Lonchura striata: one gene and its partner. The protein of the gene in region 2 purifies or fractionates together with the protein of the main gene of each other region. This does not show direct contact. Links are inferred from orthologs where the notes say so. Each region holds a gene or a part of one and is shown on either strand. Other genes may lie near its edges.

Evidence for each region. Proteins that work in one complex are often made in the same cells at the same time.
Region 1: the proteins of PGM1 (region 2) and GRHPR fractionate together in Homo sapiens (co-fractionation; 3 studies listed by BioGRID). This does not show direct contact. The link is inferred for Lonchura striata from reciprocal best matches to the Homo sapiens genes PGM1 and GRHPR.

The regions. Positions count from the first base shown.
Region 1 is NC_134642.1:86,311,871-86,319,005, reverse strand, and holds the start of GRHPR (glyoxylate reductase/hydroxypyruvate reductase), read left to right. Parts: upstream 1-4,124; 5' UTR 4,125-4,197; coding exon 4,198-4,262; intron 4,263-5,280; coding exon 5,281-5,411; intron 5,412-5,487; coding exon 5,488-5,560; intron 5,561-6,105; coding exon 6,106-6,222; intron 6,223-6,361; coding exon 6,362-6,450; intron 6,451-7,021; coding exon 7,022-7,126; intron 7,127-7,135. UniProt on the Homo sapiens protein: Enzyme with hydroxy-pyruvate reductase, glyoxylate reductase and D-glycerate dehydrogenase enzymatic activities. Reduces hydroxypyruvate to D-glycerate, glyoxylate to glycolate, oxidizes D-glycerate to hydroxypyruvate.
Region 2 is NC_134611.1:6,053,231-6,060,341, forward strand, and holds the start of PGM1 (phosphoglucomutase-1), read right to left. Parts: upstream 3,030-7,111; 5' UTR 2,898-3,029; coding exon 2,640-2,897; intron 1-2,639. UniProt on the Homo sapiens protein: Catalyzes the reversible isomerization of alpha-D-glucose 1-phosphate to alpha-D-glucose 6-phosphate. The mechanism proceeds via the intermediate compound alpha-D-glucose 1,6-bisphosphate.

The sequences.
Region 1 (7,135 bases), on a different chromosome or scaffold from region 2:
TTTGTCAGGAGCAAAGGGCAGGGGCACGCTGCCCTGCCCGGCTGCGCTCCTGCCGCCTCTCGCCAGGAGCCCGGCTGCAGCAGGGACACACTCCTGCATTGGGGTGCGAGGGTGCTGCAGGAGCAGCGGCACACCCAGCCCCGCCCCGGGGTGGGCACGGCTGGAGGCTGGTGGGGGACACCCACCCTGCCGGGGTGACGGCACACGGAGCCTCGGCACGGCCCGGGCGGGGTGCTGCTGCGGCCAGCAGCGCACGGGACACGGGGACACACAGCGACCTGGGGACACGGGGACACGGGGACACACAGGGACACACGGGGACACGGGGACACGGGGACACACAGCGACCTGGGGACACGGGGACATGGGGACACACAGGGACACACGGGGACACGGGGACACGGGGACACACAGGGACATGGGGACACGGGGATACAGGGACACACAGGGACACACGGGGACACGGGGACACACAGGGACATGGGGACACAGGGATACAGGGACACACAGGGACACACAGGGACACACGGGGACACGGGGACACGGGGACACACAGGGACATGGGGACACGGGGACATGGGGACACACAGGGACACACGGGGACACGGGGACACGGGGACACACAGGGACATGGGGACACGGGGACACGGGGACACACAGGGACATGGGGACACGGGGACATGGGGACACACAGGGACACACGGGGACACGGGGACACGGAGCCACGGCACGGCCCGGGCGGGATGCTGCTGCGGCCAGCAGCACACGGGACACGGAGACACACAGCGACCTGGGGACACGGGGACACGGGGACACACAGGGACACACGGGGACACGGGGACACGGGGACACACAGGGACATGGGGACACGGGGACACGGGGACACACAGGGACACACGGGGACACGGGGACACGGGGACACACAGGGACATGGGGACACAGGGATACAGGGACACACAGGGACACACAGGGACACACGGGGACACGGGGACACATGGGGACATGGGGACATAAAGGGACACGGGCACACGGAGCCACGGCACGGCCCGGGCGGGATGATCCTGCTGCCAGCAGCACACGGGAACACGGGTAACAAAGGGACACCCATAGACACACGGGACACGGGGACACAAAGGGACACACGGGGACAAGGGGACACAAAGGGACACAGGGACACGAGGACACACAGGGACACACGGGGACAGACAGGGACACGGGGACACACGGGCACATGGGGACAGACGGGGACACACGGGGACACACAGGGACACCTGTCCTCGCACACCCCATGGCAGGACAGGCTCCCCGTTGTGAAAAATGCGCATTTTATGATTGGCTTTTTGCAAGTGTTACAATGAATATTACATGTGTGATGTTAGAAAGTTATGCTGTATTAATTCTCTTAAGTAGTGTGTTAAATACAGATTTAGGTTATAACACAATGTTAAAATAGAAACTCTACAATGTAATATATTTTTTACTAGCTCAAGCAAGAGATGAGATAATCAAGAAACTCTTCACGCAGAGGTGTCAGTGACTTGGGGCCCATGAAGAGTTACAGCCTCCTTATGAGGAAAAACAAATATTCTTCCACCTTTTTTCCATCTTTGTGGAACCATCAAGATTAAGGGGAAGTTGACAAAAACCAGAAAAGTTCTTAATTTGCAAGGAATTTATGCATCATGTATGAGATATATGAATATGCAACAGGCTGCTGTTTTTAAGACTATTCCTTTGTTCACAAGGCATGCTTTTCATGACTCAGTGTCTGAGAGCATCGACGTCCATAATTCTTTGCTTTTTATTGTCTTCCAATTGTCCTAACTCTAAATTTTATTACTCTAATTGTATTACTAATTTTATAACCATTTTATTATTATTAAACTTTTAAAATTTTAAAAACCAAGTGATTGGTGTTTTTCACACCCCTTAATCAGGTGGGTCCTGGCAAACGGGCTCTGGACAACAAACTGGGCACCCAACCTCTGTCACTGCCCTCCCGAGAGCCACAGCTCCTCCTCAGAGCCCAGAGAGGTGGGACGGGACGGGACGGGACGGGACGGGATGGGATGCAGATGGGGATGGGGATGGGGGTGGGGATGGGGGTGGGGATGGGTCTCTCTGGCAGAGACCCAGTCATTCTCTGGCTTTTTGCAAGGGCCTGCCACAGCTGCAGGCTCCTGTGGCCTCTGGAGAGCTGCCCTCTGTGCCTCGGGGGCCGGTGTTTCCCTGCAGAGAGGGAGGCTGGTGGTTTCTTCTGCCCCGCCCTGACACCAAACTGCAGCGGCACCAGAGGGTGGCATCCCCAGCTTTGCCGCTGTCCTTCCCACCAGGCAGCAGGAGGGGTGTACGGGTGCGTGGAGGTGTGGCAGCCCTCACCTGGGTGTCAGGGAGGTGTGGGAGTGTCGTGGGTGTCCCACCACCTGCCCCTCTGCCTCTCTTCCAGCCCTCTTGGAAAGGTTTTCAGTTTTCCACAGGTGGACAGTCAGGTCTGCCTGCAACAAACCACAGGGTGCAAACAGAATTGGGCATTTACCTTTGTGTGGGTTTTATCCAGAAACCCCAAAATGGGCAACAAGGGATGTTATCTAGAGCCAGGGTGACCCCTGAGAGATGCAGAGCAGGAGCACAGCACCACGGCCTCCCCTGCAAGGGCGCCCAGGGAGGGCTGGGGGCTCCACACCTGAAGACCATTTACAGGTGCTTTTAATGGGTAAAACCACGTTGTGGCCAGAAATGAGCACTTTGCTTTGTAAATAGACCCTCTCTGGGGGTCCCTGGGTCTCTGGTGCTGCTGGGAGCACTGGCCCAGAGCTTGGAGGTTGCTGAAGTGTCTGGGGGTGACTCCACCACATCCACCAGGACCAGGAATCGGGAGTGGAAAACGCCAGCAGGATGAGCCTGGAGGAGTCACACTGGAGAGCAGGTACTCCCGACACTAATCCACTGATCAGGGAGACAGACAAGGTGTCAGCTCGCATGATATCCAGCTCGGCAGCATAAAACAAACTTTCAAGCAATTATTTAAAAATAAAACCAATTCTGCTGGCATAATCTGACAGCATGCTGATGGTACATCATGAGAGAGGGAAATCCCACCTGGAGCAGCAGAACGAATTCCACATGGAGCAACATCCTGGTGTATGTACCTCAAACTCCATGTCCCTCTGCCCACACATGTGCTGTCTTTACGTGTCTGCCTCTGTGCTCATTCCAAGAGACAGCACAGCTCTGTTAGCTACCGAGATCACCGTTCCCTCGGGCTGCCCTGCCCTGTACCTGCAGCCTCCGAACATGCTTGAATCAGGCCTGCAGGCAATTTAAATCTGAGCTAATTGATGAGCAGTCTCACGGCAGAGTGAGAGGAGGCAGTTGCCCATCCGCAGTCTCAGGGATGCCCCAAAGCTGCCACCAGAGCAGTGGGGGGGAATTCACACCAGAGGAGCTCCCGACTTTGTATGTGTGAGAATGTCCACACCTGTACGTGCAGCTGGGTACTGGTGTGTGCACACAGAGTTGTCTGTGTGTGTGGCAGGCATGTGCACAGATGCATGCCAGTGGCTGTCACAGCACCAGCGGGTCCATCGGGCTGCACAAGACCTCCGACACCACGGACCCCGCCTTGTCCCCAGCCCAGAGCTCCGAGTGCACCTCCGGAATTGCTGGGACACCTGCAGGGATGGGCACTCCAACCCTCCCTGGGCACCTCCAGGCTGAGCTCCCTTTCCATGGGGAAATTCCTGCTGGTTCCACCCTGAGCTGCCCTGGGGCCGTTCCCTCTGCTCCTGTCCCTGTTCCTGGAGCAGAGCCCGACCCCCGGCTGTCCCCTCCTGTCAGGAGCTGTGCAGAGCTCCAGGTTGCCCTGGGCTCCTTTTCCAGGGCAGGGCTGTCCCCACGCCCGTGGATGGCCACACCGCCCGCCCAGCTGCGGGGGCCGAACGCAGGCGGGCCCGGGGCGGAGCGGCCCCGGCGCGGCGGGCGGGGGCTCCGGTGCGCCCGGACAGCTCGGGGCGGTCCCGGTGCGCCCGGAAGGTTCGGGGCGGTCCCGGTTGTTCGGGGCGGTCCCGGCTGTTCGGGGCGGTCCCGGTTGTTCGGGGCGGTCCCGGTGCGCCCGGACAGCTCGGGGCGGTCCCGGCTGTTCGGGGCGGTCCCGGCTGCTCTGCCCGCGCCGTTGCGGCCGCCCGGGGCTGTCCGGCCATGGCGGTGTTCGTGACGCGGCGGATCCCGGCCGAGGGGCTGCGGCTGCTGTCCCAGGCCAGCGGGTGAGCGGGGACAGCGCCGGTGGCGGTCGGTGACGGCGCCGCCGCGGGGCCCGGAGCCGCTCCCGGTGCGGGGCCCGGTGCTGGTATCACTGCCAGGCTCGGAGCCCGTGCAGGTGTCGGTCCCGGACGACGGCGGCCCCGGTGCGGGTGCCGGTCCCGGTCCCGGTGCCGGTCGGTGCGGGCGCCGGTCCCGGTCCCGGTGTCGGCCGGTGACAGTCGGCGCCGGCGCTGGTCCCGTTACCGGTTCTGGTCCCGGTCCCAGCGCCGTGACTGACGGAACCGGTGCCGGTCGGTGCCGGTCCCGGTCCCGTTGGTTACGGAGCCGGTCCCGGTCCCGGTGCCGTGGGTGACGGAGCCGGTCCCGGTGCCTGTGCCGGTCCCGGTCCCGGTGCCGTGCCGGTGGTGACGGAGCCGGTCCTGGTGCCGGTCCCGGTGCCTTGGGTGACGGAGCCGGTGCCGGTCCCGGTCCCAGTCCCGGTGCCTTGGGTGACGGTGCCGGTGCCGGTCCCGGTCCCAGTCCCGGTGCCTTGGGTGACGGAGCCGGTGCCTGTGCCGGTCCCGGTCCCAGTGCCGTGCCAGTGGTGACGGAGCCGGTGCCGGTCGGTGTCGGTCCCGGCGCCGGTGCCGTGGGTGACGGAGCCGGATCCGGTTCCTGTGCCGGTGCCTGTGCCGGTTCCGGTCCCAGTCCCGGTGCCTTGGGTGACGGAGCCGGTGCCGGTCCCGGTCCCAGTCCCGGTGCCTTGGGTGACGGTGCCGGTGCCGGTGCCGGTGCCTGTGCTGGTCCCGGTCCCAGTCCCGGTGCCTTGGGTGACGGAGCCGGTGCCTGTGCCGGTGCCGGTGCCGGTGCCGGTGCCGGTCCCGGTGCCGGGCCCGTGGTGACGGAGCCGGTGCCAGTCGGTGTCGGTCCCGGTGCCGGTCCCGGTCCCGGTCCCGGTCCCAGTCCCGGTGCCTTGGGTGACGGTGCCGGTGCCGGTGCCGGTCCCGGTGCCGGGCCCGTGGTGACGGAGCCGTGCCGCAGGTGCCGCGTGCAGCAGTGGGACTCGGACGAGCCGGTGCCGCGGGCCGAGCTGCTGGCCGGCGTGGCGGGGACGCGCGGGCTGCTCTGCCTGCTCTCGGACCGCATCGACCGCGAGGTGTTGGACGCGGCCGGTGCGTGCGGGGCCCCGCTCCCCCAGTGCTGCCCCGGGCCCGGGACAGCCACGGCAGCGCCCGGCGTGTCTTACAGGGCCCGGCCTGAAGGTCATCAGCACGCTGTCCGTGGGCTTTGACCACCTCGCGCTGGACGAGATCAAGAAGCGGTAGCGCTGCCCCGCTCCTGCCCTGCTCCGACACCTCCTGCCCCGACCCTCACCTGCTCCGACACCTCCTGCCCCCCTCCTGCCCTGCTCCGACACCTCCTGCCCAGCTCTGACACCTCTTGCCCCCTCCTGCCTTGCTCCAACACCTCCTGCCTCCTCCTGCCCTGCTCTGACCCCCGTGCTCCGTTCCCTCCCCCTGCTCTGACCCCCTGCACTGTGCCCCTGGTTCTGGATCCCTTCCCCTGCCCCACATCCCACTGGTCCTCCAGGTGGGCTTTCCCAGAGCCCGGGGCCGGTGGGGTCAGCTGCCCACACCCCTCCACTGCTGGATCGTGGCTGGGGTCACCCCAACCACACCAGGGCTGGAGGAGCCTGTGGCGCTGGGCAAAGTCTGCCCAGGGAAAGGGAGTGCCAGGAGGGCTGGGGGCTGCAGGATGACCCCGGAGTTCCAGGAGGGCTGGGGGCTGCAGGATGACCTGGCTGCCTGGGGACAGTGCTGGCAGCCAGCCCGGGCAGGGCAGCACCCAGAGCCCGCTGTGCTGCAGGGGGATCCGGGTGGGGTACACCCCTGACGTGCTGACCGACGCCACGGCCGAGCTGTCGGTGGCCCTGCTGCTGTCCGCCTGCCGCCGCCTGCCCGAGGCCGCCGAGCAGGTCAAGAGGTGAGTGCCCGCTCGGGGTCCTGCCAGGGTGACGAGGGGCCAGGCCAGCGTTCTGTGGGGCTCACACCGAGCACCTGGCGTGCGGCTGGGCTCTGAACGGCTTTCCATGACCCCATCCCTGTCCTGCTCTCTCTGCCAGTGGTGGCTGGACAACCTGGAAGCCCCTGTGGATGTGTGGGTATGGCCTGTCTGACAGCACCGTGGGCATCATCGGGCTGGGCAGGATCGGTGAGTGCAGCTCAGAGGCACTGCCTGCAGCAGTGCCAGGGTGAGCTCGGAGCCCCACCTTCAGCCTGGGCTGCTGGAGGGTGCCCCTGCTGGGGTGGGAGGGTTGGAGTAAGATGGCCTTTGCAGTCCTTCCCAGCCCAGACTGCTCTGGGACTCTGGCTCAGCCCGGGTGGTGGCCTGTGCTCACCGGGGGCACAGCAAGGGGAGCCTGCAGAGCCTCTCCCAGCAGCTGCAGTGGCTTGCCATCCTCAGCCTTAAAGCCTCGGGTGTTCATGTGCTTCCACCGACCCCCGTCAGGCCCTGCAGCAGTCTCTGTCTCCTCCCACTCCTTGGTTGCACAAATGGGTGCCAAAGTCCACGGATGCTCGGCACGGTCCAGCTGTGGACTTTGCCAGCAGGCAGCCGGTCCTGCCCTCGCTGCCAGGGCAGCCCCGGGGCAGTGTCCGCAGCAGAGCGGCTCCACCAGCCAGGCAGGGCTGCTCCCACTGCAGCAGCCCTTCAGCAGCTTCAGGCGCTGCTGCCCGCTCTGCCGTGCAGCCACAGCAGCGACACCCTCCTGGCTCTCTCCTAGGACAGGCAGTGGCCCGGCGCCTGAAGCCCTTTGGGGTCAGCAAGTTCCTCTACACTGGCAACAGCCCCAAGCCAGAGAGCGCGGCCGAGTTCGGGGCTGAGTTTGGTAAGGACG
Region 2 (7,111 bases):
AGCCCAAACCCCAAACCCTGCCAACAGGTGAAGCACAGCCCTGTTCCTGCAAAGCTCCCCACAGCATATCCAACCCCGCTCTGTTGGAGCATTTCCCTCCATGAATGCTGCACTTGGATGTACTGAAGGGCTGAGCTCTCCACAGGCATTAAACACCACAAAAAACAGCATTCCCTCTGGCTGTGGTATCAAAATTTGCCTTCAAAACACACAATGGAGCAGAGAGAAGCCAAAAGAACACAAAACTTGAACATTCTGGGAGCAGCTGCATGTTCTTCCTTGCAGTGGGCAGCACACCTCCTTCCCATAAATCCAGGGATATCTCTGAGATTGGATCCAGAACAATGTGCTGAGCGATACACCAGCTCCAGAACCCAGGCAATAAACCAGGAGGTGGAGAATTCCCTGGAAGAACACACTCCTTCCCACAGCCCCAGATGAGGTGACAGGATTTAAAACCACAGCAGACTCCTCTGCACCAACCAAGGGGGTCAGACCCAGAACACACTGGGAAAAGAGGGATTTCATTCCGTCACAAGCTGGAGCAGGAATCAAGAGGAGCATTCCCAAGCTGTGGTGGGTGCTGAGCCAAGGGCACAGGATGGCTGTGATTCCTGTCCCCTGGCACTGCCAGGTGCTAAGCCCCAACCTCGCTGCCCATCCCAGCCCAGCTGTCACAGCCCAGCTGCTGGCAGAGCTGCACTTCTAGCAAATAACAGCAGAAATGTGAAAAAAGCACTTTACAAACCCAAAGTGAGGGCCCTGCCTCCAGCTGCCCACAGCAGCTCATACTGGAGCCCTGACTGTGCCCACACACTGATCACTCATTTATTGCACCTTACGTTTCATCTGATGCAGGGTTTGCTTTTCCCTCATTCTCAGACACCCCTTGTCCTGTGCTTTATTCCAGCCTCCAAACCTTGCTCCTTCAGCTTCCCTGAGAATTCATGGGACCTCACGCAAAACTTTCCCTCCTGCTCCCCAGTTTCCCTCTGAGGGTCACATTCTGCAGCACCCCTGGGCATCAGTGCCCCAGGAATGCTGCAGAAGAAGGGGAAAATAAGGAAAGGAAGAAACACTGGTTTCCATGTGAGCTGCTCTGTGATTTGGGTCTTCCTTGGCTTCCCAAAGTTTTCAGCTGCCATTCCCCACCCATCCAATGCTGAATTCTTTGTGGTAACCACTGGGGAAGGTTAACAGTGTAACAATGTGCTGAACGATTTACACATGATCCTTTTTGAGTCTGTGGAATTTCTTATGAGGAAAACCTCAGGCTGCAAGGATGGACAAACACCTTTCATGGATTTCTCAAAACAGACCCACTTTGTGCAGCAAGTTTGGGTTACAGCATTTCCAAACCATCCAGACAATAATTCCACCCTGGTTTTACTGAAAGCCCCATGAGGATGCACACAGGGAGCTCCTGCAGCCCCTCCTCCCCCCAGGAACACTGGGAACACTTTTCCAGGCCATGGAAGTTGGTGGCTGCAGCTCCATGGTGGCCCCAGCCCATCCCTGCAGCCTTTTCCGTGCAGGAAATGCAGCCCAAGCCACCAATCCCACACCCTGAGCACAACACTGACAGGCACCAGCCAGACTGAGAAAAATCCATGGAAAATAGCCAAACCACCCTCTCAATCCCATTTAGGCAGACCTGGGCCCAGGAAAAGTTCTTTGCTAGAGAGCAGAGTCTGAGCTGGTGAAGATGAGCCCGATCTCCTCTCACCAGGAGATCTGTCCTGGTGCTGGGCACTCCAAGCCTGGCTCTGTGAACATTTTCCAGCTCTTCTGCTCTGCCCATACACTGATTTCAAAGGAAGACATTAATCTGCAATGCCTGAAGATATTTCCCCCACAAGATGGAAAATAGATTGATTTTTTAAATAAATGAAAAAAAAAAATCTCATCCTATTTTCCCAGTCACTACCGATTACACTGTCCTAGTCATGTTTTTTGTCAAATTCCTAAAATCCAGGTCCCTTTGCACAAAGTTTGTTCTGCACTGAGATCCAGGATAGACAGCAGAGCCTTTTCTTTTAAAAAAGCAGAAAGAAACAAAGACAAAAGCCCATTGCATGAACCACAATCTTGCACAAACACACAAACCTCTTGCTCTGCTTCCAAAACACAGAATTCCAGCACAACTGAGCTCCCTATAAAGGCTGTCACTCACTTGCTAACCCTCATATCAATTTTCAAAGGCTCCCTAAGCATTTATCTCACTGCCACAACTTACACCTGGTGAGAAAGGCAAAACATGGTTGTTTGTTCTCCTTTGCCACTCTGGTGGCTCTCCCTGGTAGTTCATTTCTGAACAGTATCAGGGCTTTATATTCTCATGGAAACACTGAAAAATCCACAGGTGCCAACAGCTTGGGACATGTCAAAGCACAAAACAGGAACACACAAACCCCAGGCAGAATTTATTTTCCTTTCTCCACGTGCACTCCCTGCCCAACTGCAACACTTAGAGTGAAAAACCAGTAATTTCTGCACTCCCCAACTGATCTGCCATTAAAAACATTGCTATTAACAGTTAAACAAAGCCTTTGGGGAAATTAAATCTCACAGTGCCTAATTTCTGATGGATTTCTGCTCAGCCAACCCCACAGGAATTCAGCCCTTTAACATTTACCAACCCCGTTGGCAGCAGCCATTTGGACAATCAGTTCCACTGCAGACTTATTGAGGTACCTCCCATCACCTCCAACCACCAGAGAGGCTCCTTGGCGATCCCTTAGGTCTATGGAAAAAAATATACTCTGGATAAAATTCTGCAAATAGTTCAGCTTGGATTCAAAGTAGAAGGTCTTCCTCCTCAAGCCGCTGGTTCCCGGTTTCTGGTCGCTGTAGGGAGCTGTTGGCACCGTCACCAGAGGCAGGGGAGCGTCTTCCATGTCCCTTTTTCACACAGATGCATTTAAAAAGTCAAATATGGCAAAATTAACCCCCAAAACCTTGACACAGCAATGGCCCACCTATGAGCCAGGAGTTCGGGGGAGCTGTTGAACACCCAAAAATAACTCCTTGCACCTTCTGTAACCGAAGCCGTGTCCTCACACTTGTGGCAGGGGATCAATGTCAGGGAGAACTCGCAATTCCACACTGCTGTCCCTCACTGGAAAGGATTCCTGTCTTCTCTGTCACCTCCTGGTTGCCACAGGCACTGCTCCCAGCCATCCCATGGAGCCCAGCAGTGTCAATCCCTGTGGATCTCCCTCAGGCAGGGAGGTAGGAGCAGCCCAGCCCTGCTGGGATGTGTTTTCCCAGATCCACAGGCCAGGGCTGGGGCACGCTGGGCTCTGGAGACAAACTTCCAGCAGGATCCTGCTGGAGTTATTTTGCAAAGTCTGGTGAGTTAAAGGTCACTCTTAAAATGGAAGGGAACAGATCTGTTACCTCCCGTTTGCTCATGCGACTCCTGCCCTGACAACCTGACTTCCCACGGCTCCCTGAACCACAGGGAGAATTTCCAGCAGAAACAGCTGGTCAGCCTTTGACTGGAAAGCCTCATGAGCCTCAGCAAGTCTCATCCAGATTAAGACCACAAAAAACCATCAAATGCTTGGGAGAAACTGCATCCCATAATGCTGCTCATTTTGGGGCAGCCTAAACACAAACAGAAAGAGACTCAGATCCCATGAAACTGCTGTGGAGCCTCATCACCCCAAGCATGGGGAAGGTAAATGAAAGAAGGGAAGGTTGTGGACTCCCCATCCCTGGAAGTGTCCAAGGCCAGGTTGGATGGGGCTTGGAGCAACCTGGGATAGTGGAAGGTGTCCCTGCCCAGGGCAGGGGGAATAGGATGGGCTTTAGGGTCCCTTCCCATCTAAACCATTCCATGATTGTAAAATCAGCCTTTCCTCCAAGCCTCTTTAACAACACTCAGAGTCCTCTGTAAACAATATATAGATAACACTGGAGCAATTAAAGAACAGACACTTGGTAATGACTCTGTTTGTCCCACCCTTGAAGGCAGGAAAAAGGAGTTGTGTACAAACAGCTGAATTGTGACAGGTCTGAAGGTGCTCAGGGACTCTTCCCTGTGCTGGTTCTGTCATTGCTCCAATAATTGACATCTTTTCTTCCAAAAATGATCACAGAACCGTGAAGTTTGGAAAAGCCCTCTGAGATAATCCAGATAATCCTAACCTTGCCAAAGCCACCACTTGACCATGTCCTCAGGATCCTGATTTATCCATCAGCACATTGAAATGGAGTTGGATAATTTGTGTGACCCAACACACCTTTTACCCCAGCAGTGAGACTGCCTGGGATACACAGCAACACTGGTTTGTGTTTCATCCACCCACACTATTCCAACATCTTGCAGCTCTCTTTACTTCCATGCAAAAGCCCAGGTTTCCCTCTAGTGGCACAGAACCCAAAATCCAGCTCCCAAAATTACACCTGGCAGGAAAAGGCCCAAGCAAGCTATTTCCCTGCTTGCTGCCCTGGGAAATGCCATGGCATTAAGTGACAGGAGGAGGGCACAGGACACCCAGCAGTGACTGCAGGATGTGCTTGGATTCACTGGCAGGGAAAAGCCTGTGAAGGGTGGGGATTTGTGTGTAATTCAGTGCATGTGGAGTAGACAGAGGAATTAAGCTAAATTAAGCAGGGGAGGAGGGTCATTCATGCAGTGTTTATGTACATAAAGTCAAGCACATTCTATTAAATTAATATTAAAATAATATTATAATAATAACATTTCTGCTGAGGATGACTCTAGTGCAGGCAGCCATGGCTGGGAGTGGCATTTGGTAATGCCAGAACAAATGGAGCCCAAGAAAAAGAAATAGATTGCAAGGGTGTTATTGGTCATACAAGGAGTGCTGCTCACACTTTGCTTCTATTAAGAATTAATTAAAAATCCCAGTTTGGAAGTTGCTGTAGAGATTCCAGAGGGCAAAAAAAGATATCTGGCACCATCTCAACAGCACAAGTGCACTCACATTTGAATCACTCCAGAAGGAAGAGACAGTTCTGTTCCTACAACAACTGAAAAGTTGGGTGGCAGAGACAGGGACTGGCAGGGCTGGGAATGAGTCCCCATCTCCAGGTTTGTCCCACTTGCAGGGGTTGAGCCTTCCTTTCCAGGGAAGCACACACCAGCCACCAGGATTGTGAAACCTTCTGTTCCATGGGCAGCCCCTCAAAGCATGCCCAAATCTGCATTTTATCTCTGCTGTCCAGCCCCCGCAGCAGGGAAAAGGGGAGGGATTCCAGCAGTATTCCCTCAGTGCTCCAGGATTTCTGGCCCCAGCCTGCTGAGATAGAGCCCCTAGCTCTGAGTGCTCTTGGAAATCTGCACCTGAACCCAAAAAACACCTTCCACTACCCCAGGTGGCTCCAAGCTCTGTGCAACCTGGCCTTGGACACTTTCAGTGATCCAGGGGCAGCCACAACTTCCATAGAAAACCTGTGCCAGGGCCTCAGCACCCTCACAGGGAGGAATTTCTTCCCTACAGAATGCCCTCAGCCAGTCCTGCTGGAATCTCCCACACCCAGACCAGATCCTCTCTGAGGGCTGGTCCCCCAGCTCAGGACTTGTGCTCCTGGCGAGGCTTTATTTCCTGATTTTCACTTAAAACAAATTTATTTTAAAATCAAGAAGTGATGTTTTTCTGGATGACTGGGTGCTCCTGACAACTGTGTTTGTCCTCTCCCCATCACACCTGCTGTTTATTTTGTTACTCTGCAACTTGTACTATGAATATGTACTATAAGTGTAGATGTTATACTTTGATTACTTCAGAATTCTTCGTTCTTACTGATATCTAAGCCATCTCTGTTTATTTTTAAAATACATTTCATCTCCTCATCTGAAGCATTAATCAATATTTTGGCCAGCTCAGGGTCATGACAGGATGCATTTCTCAATGCTGGTGAGCTCAGATTTGGAATAACACCTGGACAGCAGCTCTCCAGCCCAGCTCCCTGTCCCAAACTTTGCCCTGACAAGGGGAAGGCATTTCTGCCCAGCCAGCCCAGCCCCAGCTAAGGTGTCTGCCCATGCATTGTCCCAGGAGATTACAGCTAAATCCCTGGTAGGATGAATTTCAACTTTGCCTGCTGGATTTGCTGAGATTAACTGCAAAGCACCTTAGCTCTTGCTCTGAGCTGGAGTTTCATGAGTGCAGAGTTTAAAATTCCAAAGGGGCACTGAAACTGGACAACCTAAATACTTAATCACCTTCCACTGTAAACTGACATAAGGCAATTAACTTTACAGGCAAAAAGAGTCTAGGCTGGTGTAAAAAGAGGCTGTGAGAGCTACTGCAGCTGCTGTCTTCTAAAATCCATATCATCTGCAGCCAGGAAATAGCTACAAGTGGTATTTATTTCCTCACTTTAGATATCACATCTCAATTTCCCCTTCTGCCTCTGAGAAAAACAGTAACATAAGAAAGTCAGAAATTGAGGTTTTTCCTTCTGGCCTGAAGGATCCAGGATCACCACATCTAACCCTGGTTGTTTTTTGGAAGAACTTTCTCTCTCTATAAGCACTTTCTTTTGATTATTTGAATCCCAGGATCTTTTACTCAAAGGGAAGATCTCAGTGGGAAATGGTGTGGGAGCTGTGGCAGAACAGCACAAAGAAAAAGGGAGCTACCAAAGGAGAGCAGTGATAAATAAATGCAACAGGTTTGAGCACTTGGTTTCTCTGGGTAACTGAGGGGACAGAAAGGTTAAAGCAGCCAACACAAACTTCCTGGGGGAGAGAGCAGCATTCCTAATAAAAGCCTGATTGTCCTGCAGCTATAAAACAAAAGCAGGCACTATTTAACATGCAAGGCACAGCCTGGCACTCCAAACACCTTCAGTTAGGAAGGAACCAAGGACGCAGTAAATTTGGGGAGCAGCAGGCAACAGTGTCACTGCATCAGCCTAGTGCTGCTTCTATCATCACACCTGGATTTACAGTTTCTGTCCTTTTTGACATAAAATTATTGCACAGCCACAATTCTGCTGATCAGTGATGCTCCAACAGGAACTGTGAAGATCTGATTTGTGGATTTAAAGAGTCAGACTCACCATGTGGGAATAATACCAAGGAAAGCTGGCACACAGACCAAAACAAAGCTGGTAGGTTACACTGGATGTCAAC